Saccharomyces cerevisiae S288C: one gene and its partner. The protein of the gene in region 1 binds, or shares a complex with, the protein of each later gene. Each region holds a gene or a part of one and is shown on either strand. Other genes may lie near its edges.

Region 1 (3,434 bases):
GGAGACTAACACAAAAAATAATATATCAGTCGGTTTGAACCCTGACATTTTAGAGGTTCTTGTTAAGATTCATAATACCGAAGACTTCACGAAAAAGCAATTTCACATTCGTAAGGGTGATATAATAATTCACTCTAGAAAGACGAATACACTATCACCGAATTTACCAAACACACTAAAGTTGTTAGCCTTGCGTTTAATAAAATTATCAATACAAACGCACGCGCTAAGTGATCCCGTTGACTTGGGTTCTGAATTGCTTCTTTACCATAATTTGACGCACAACGCGGTAAAATTGGTGAAGATTCTCGGGACTAACGACATCTCAATTAATCCAAATCAGTCACTTATTGTCGAAGTCGAAATTATAGAACCAGACTTTGCTCTTAATGTGATTGATTCCAAATACATTACCAACAATATTGTTTTAACATCAATAGATCATAAGGTTATCGCAGTTGGCAGAATTGCATGCCAGTAATCCTACAACTAAGAAATTATACTAGGCATTCATACTTATTGTTTAATATATAAAATGAATAGTAATAAGTTGATGATAGATTGATTTTTTTAACCCATTTTACACATATCTTATGAAAGTGATATTAACCTACATAATCTAGGAACAATATAAAAACACCCATGATAATGGCACCATAAGTGGTCATTTTAGCAGTTCTTCCAGCAGCTCGTTTCGCTTTACGTAATTCTTTATTTCCCTTCTTAATATTCAATTCAATGTCATCTTGATTGTTCAGCATTAGGTTTATATTTTGAGATTGCACCGTTAAATGATTGGACAATTCGTTCTGTATATTGACAATGTCTAAAATTGTTTTGTTTATAGTCTCCACTTTTTTCAATTGCTCATTTTTTTGATTTAGCAGTTCCGAATGTTCTGTCTCCAACACTTGTAGTTGCTCCTGGGTTAATTTGGATATCGTCTCTTCATAATGTTTTACTTCGTCTTGTACAGTTTCTACGGGAGCAGATTGTGACACTGAGATGTCTATTGCATCTGCAGAGAAATCATCCGCATTGTTGGATAAAGTAGGCATAGGCGTTGAATTGAAATTCATTTTATTTTCTAATATCAATCTTTCCTGTTGTATGGTAGTGAATTTGGATGAAACATATTTTATCCACAAATTCAAACACCGTAGGACACCTAATCTAAATTCATAAACTCCATTTTCAATGTCTTGCGGATGTATCACATGCTTAGTGTTGTCGTTTTTATTGGAAAGTATTTTTGACCATCTGTGAGACTTTGACTGAAATCTTTTCAGCGACAAATTATGCCTTTCCATTTCGTAATTCTCTAGGAATTCAAACTTTTTGAAATATTGTTGAATTTGCAGCCTGCATTCCATGTCAAACTCGTCCTTTTCCGCATCACTCATATTAAAGTCATCTAAATAGTTTTTTTCAATCTGTTTTATTACCTTGTTTAATTCGACTAGGAACTTCAATAGTCTTGCACATTCCTTAATAAACGAATCCCTAAACATTTCACACGTTTCATTAGAATTCCCGAAGTCCTCTTGTTTCCTTTCAACATGATCATCTATACCATTTTGCTCATTTCTAGCATCATCGATAACAGCAACATACTTACGGAATATTGGTGTTAAATCAGACATCATGAGTTAATAAGCTCTTCACTGCTTTTACGGGTGATTTCCCAGCACCGGGGGAAATGATACTAGACGTATGTGTATGTATTCTAGTTATTCTCATTCATCTGAGCTCACAAGTTGGGTAGGGTAACGGAGATCTTTCCTTGTTGGCAGTTCTTAATTAAATGTGCCCTTTTCAGAAAGATACCAGCAAAGGTAGGAATGATTTATCATTACATGACATGTATCCATATTCCAGGATGGATCATGCGAACAAGCTTCTTTCCCCTCTCGTCTGTAAAGGACGGGATTGAGATTCAATTAAAAAATTAGTTTCATTGGAAAAGGCCAATAAAATATGCAAAGGTCCCGTCATTATACTGCAGCTACCTCAAAGAGATTAGCTTTGTGTCCTCAACGTAGGACCGCATTGAACAGGTTGGAAGAGGTGTTGCTTTTTTGACCTTCTTTCTCAAACTTAATATTTGGTGACGCGTTAAATAGAAAAAATGAAAAAGACCTTAATTGACGCGTTTCCTGAAATATTTACTATAGCATAGCTGTAATTGTATTTTCTAAACTTGTAAGTGACTGTGTATATCAAACAATAAAGTATCAAGGAGAGAGCTTCATAACAGAACGGTACAGGATGACTATGGACGGAAAAAACAAAGAAGAAGAGCAATATCTTGATCTATGCAAAAGAATCATTGATGAAGGTGAATTTAGGCCAGATAGAACAGGCACTGGTACGTTGAGTCTTTTTGCACCACCCCAGCTGCGTTTTAGTTTACGTGATGATACCTTCCCACTACTAACGACCAAGAAGGTTTTTACTAGAGGTATCATACTTGAACTATTGTGGTTTTTGGCCGGTGATACAGACGCTAACCTATTGTCTGAGCAAGGTGTTAAGATTTGGGACGGTAATGGATCTCGTGAATATTTAGATAAGATGGGGTTCAAAGATAGGAAAGTAGGAGATCTGGGGCCCGTTTACGGATTTCAATGGAGGCATTTTGGTGCTAAATACAAGACGTGCGATGACGACTATACTGGACAAGGTATTGATCAATTGAAACAGGTTATACATAAACTAAAGACAAATCCCTACGATAGAAGAATCATTATGAGTGCCTGGAACCCAGCTGATTTTGACAAAATGGCTTTGCCGCCATGCCATATTTTTTCACAGTTCTATGTCAGTTTCCCCAAAGAAGGAGAAGGATCCGGTAAGCCCCGCCTTTCATGCTTATTGTACCAACGTTCTTGTGATATGGGGTTGGGAGTACCATTTAACATTGCATCATATGCTTTGTTGACTAGAATGATTGCTAAAGTTGTCGACATGGAGCCAGGTGAGTTCATTCATACTTTGGGGGATGCACATGTTTATAAAGACCACATTGATGCCTTGAAAGAACAAATCACCAGAAATCCAAGACCATTCCCGAAACTAAAGATTAAAAGGGACGTTAAAGACATTGATGATTTCAAGTTGACAGACTTTGAAATTGAAGATTATAATCCTCATCCAAGAATTCAAATGAAAATGAGTGTATAATTGACAGCACGAGGAGAAACAAAATCATGTACTTACGTATATACACACAAAATCGAATGTATATAATACAATGGTTTATTATGCAAAAATATAGAAATTATTAAGGAACACCAGGGCAAAAAGACTATATATCATTTTTTGGTGCGATATGTTTTTGGTTGATGTTTCACTGCCTTACCATTTCCAAATAAATCAAATACTGCTAAATCATCTTCATTTAGTCTAAAGCTAACAGATTTATTATTAACATT
Region 2 (3,289 bases), on another chromosome or scaffold:
GCCCGGTCAACCTCCACTGATTAATATTGGTTTGGTTGGTTATCCAAATGTAGGTAAATCCTCCACTATTAATTCGCTCGTGGGTGCCAAGAAAGTTTCTGTTTCATCCACGCCTGGTAAAACAAAACACTTCCAAACTATTAAGTTATCTGATTCTGTCATGCTTTGTGACTGTCCCGGTCTTGTCTTCCCAAACTTTGCATATAACAAGGGTGAGCTCGTGTGTAATGGTGTTTTACCTATTGATCAATTACGTGATTATATTGGTCCAGCAGGTTTAGTAGCAGAAAGAATACCAAAGTATTACATTGAAGCGATTTATGGTATCCATATTCAAACCAAATCAAGGGATGAAGGTGGGAATGGGGATATACCAACTGCTCAAGAATTGTTAGTCGCATACGCCAGAGCTCGTGGTTATATGACTCAAGGTTACGGTTCTGCTGATGAACCAAGAGCAAGTCGTTATATATTGAAAGATTACGTCAATGGGAAATTACTGTATGTCAACCCTCCGCCCCATCTAGAGGATGATACACCTTACACTAGAGAAGAGTGTGAAGAATTTAACAAAGATTTATATGTGTTCGACAGATTACCGGACACCAGAAAGGAGCAAGTGCAAAATGCTGCTAAGGCTAAAGGCATTGATATCGTGGATTTAGCTCGTGATTTGAATCAGCTAACGTTTTCAGCTCACACTGGTGGTGACACACAAAAAGAAGCCAAATCTGTTACGCACGGTGGTAAACAAGCTGCATTGTACAATGCCGCTGAGGACTTGGATAGAGACTTCTTCAAGATGAACAACGTCGAAGGTAGATTAAGTACACCATTCCACAAAGTTCAAAATAGTTCAGCTGGTAAGAGACATAACAAAAAAAACAAAAGTAAAAATGCGAAAAGCAAAGTTTTTAGCATTGAAAATAATTAGCGGTAACTAACATATATCTTCTCAAAAAAACTGTGTACTATTATCTTTTCATCTCGCCAATTAATGACAGCGTTATTTGAGAATAGACCTAAGATAATAAAACTATGTTCGTTACCCGGACAAATTTTCTTGGAAGAATTTTTGAGTCCTAGAGATATTATAAAACGGCCCTCTATTAATTTGCTCTTTCTTTCCTCAGTTTAATTCTTCTTTCGAATAAAAAATAAAAATATCATGGCTCTTCAACACATTTCAACATGTTCAAGTAATTTGTGTTAGTGGATGACCATTTAGGGGCTGCTGGCCTGGTTACCGGGAGTTTTTCTTGGATCCAAGCTAGCTTTTCCGTCTGATTATCCTTAAGCTTCACAAATTACAATTTTTCCCACGCATTAAGAAATAAGCTCAAGATGCCTAAAATAAGTTCTATCCCGCCTTTTTTCGCTAACAATGACTGAGTATTCCCACAGTCTATAGTTTGATAGTAGATGGGCGGAAATTTTTCTCATATATTTACTTTTTATAGGAGAGTATATTTACGTACGTATAGTGATTGCATGTAGTTGCTCCCTATATCTTGTCATATGAGCGTGATACTGACCGATACCTGTTACAGATGTCGGTCTGGATTTGTTCGTTTTTCTTCCCTAAAGTAGGTCAGTATATATAAAATATGGCCGGAGGAAAGCTTCACCACTTTATCACCACTAAATTTATAAAGTAGAATACAATTTCAACATACACAGAGAATAAAAAAAGGTTGACAGGACACATAATAGCAAGGCAAGATGGCTGAAACTTCCAACGACCCCTTTCTGTCCTACGTTTTGAGTAGCAAACAATTAACTAATTTGAATCGTCTACGAAGGAAAGCAGTTACAAAACAACTGGGATCAAGTGACGACAATAAGGTCTCAGAGGAGTTTTTGAGGTATCAACATACTTATCAAAGAGAAGCATTTGAATATCTGCAAACAAAACATGACGCCCACAAAATAATGGAGTCACAGTACGAACAGTACCAAAGCAGTTCAAAAACAAGAAGATATAGTATCGATTTAGATTCTGTAGATGCAGTTGACACGGAATCGCAAACAGAATACCCAAATGAGGAGTTTATTGATAGAAACGAAGATAGCGAAGCTGTTATGGAGTTGAGAAAGAGATTGTTGGGGAAGGGACAGAATAAGGGTTTAGGATATGAAACTACGAAATCAGTCGATAGGCAAATTGAGGACCAGGACACGTTGCAACAGGATTTGATTCAGGATATGAGCAAACTTGTGGGCAGTTTGAAGCAAGGAGCTGTGGCATTTCAATCAGCACTTGATGAAGATAAGCAAGTTCTTGGAGCTGCAGAGATAGGTATTCAAGTTGCTTCTCAAGGTTTAATGGATGTTAGCGGTAAATTAAGGAAATATGACAAGAGTAAATTGAGTTACTTGTTTTATATTACTGTTTTCATTTTTATGATTCTCGGACTGGTGTTTACATTTATCATAATTCAATTATTCCCGGCCCTATAATGTAATTATAACGATGGAATGATGTTTTTTGGAAGAAAAATTCAACTGTTTATTAATATTTACGGCATTTTTTCATGTAGTTGAGATTATTCCTATTGAAAAAAGCAAATTGTGAGAAAAAAGTATACAATAAAATTTGTATAGGCTGCAGAATTCTCCTTTCCGTATAGTTGCCTACTTCCCGTCTCAAACTGAATCCTGCTATCTGATTGCTTTCTGTGTTGGTGCGGTGAATCTTTTTATACATATAATATTTGAAAAAGAATAAACATTTGAGAAAACAAAAGTAGCTAAACAAAACGACAAAATCATAACATTTCCTGATCTGACTGAAAGCTAATAGAACAGCAGTGTTCGATGAGGGTAAAATAAGGAGGGGTCTTCGGTTACGTTATACTAGTAAGTTGATTTTGATTTTAAGTCATATTATTGAACGCATTATGATGATACTCATAATGGACTAAATTTTTCTCATGTATAAGGTCCATAGTAGCCAAGTGCATTCCATTACAATGTTATTGATATTATCTGTGCTCTCAAATTCGGCTGAAGAAAACTACTACAAACACAACACATCAAATAATGTAACACAGCCTTGCTTATTGCCGGTGTAAGGGTCGACTATCTTCGATCTACTCATATTCATATTATCAATTTATTATCATATATGGTATAAGAAAATGACATGAACATTGAGAAACAACCAATAGATTAATTGGAAGCTGAAATGCAAGGATTAATAACTTGATAAATGGAAGTTAAAAGATAGTATTAATGATGACTAAATATGGATTCTGTTATCCTTGTATAAGAGAAGTATAAAACAAAC

The links.
Region 2: UFE1 (region 1) and USE1 share a complex: the UniProt entries of both Saccharomyces cerevisiae proteins name them as parts of the SNARE complex.

What each region holds. Positions count from the first base shown.
Region 1 is NC_001147.6:466,424-469,857, reverse strand, and holds UFE1 (Ufe1p), read right to left. Parts: upstream 1,647-3,434; coding exon 606-1,646; downstream 1-605. Other genes in the region: SKI7 (Ski7p), read left to right, coding at 1-481; CDC21 (thymidylate synthase), read left to right, coding at 2,269-3,183; SGO1 (Sgo1p), read right to left, coding at 3,315-3,434. UniProt on the Saccharomyces cerevisiae protein: Syntaxin required for targeting and fusion of Golgi-derived retrograde transport vesicles with the ER.
Region 2 is NC_001139.9:315,620-318,908, forward strand, and holds USE1 (SNAP receptor USE1), read left to right. Parts: upstream 1-1,722; coding exon 1,723-2,460; downstream 2,461-3,289. Other genes in the region: ribosome biogenesis GTPase LSG1, read left to right, coding at 1-934. UniProt on the Saccharomyces cerevisiae protein: SNARE required for targeting and fusion of Golgi-derived retrograde transport vesicles with the ER.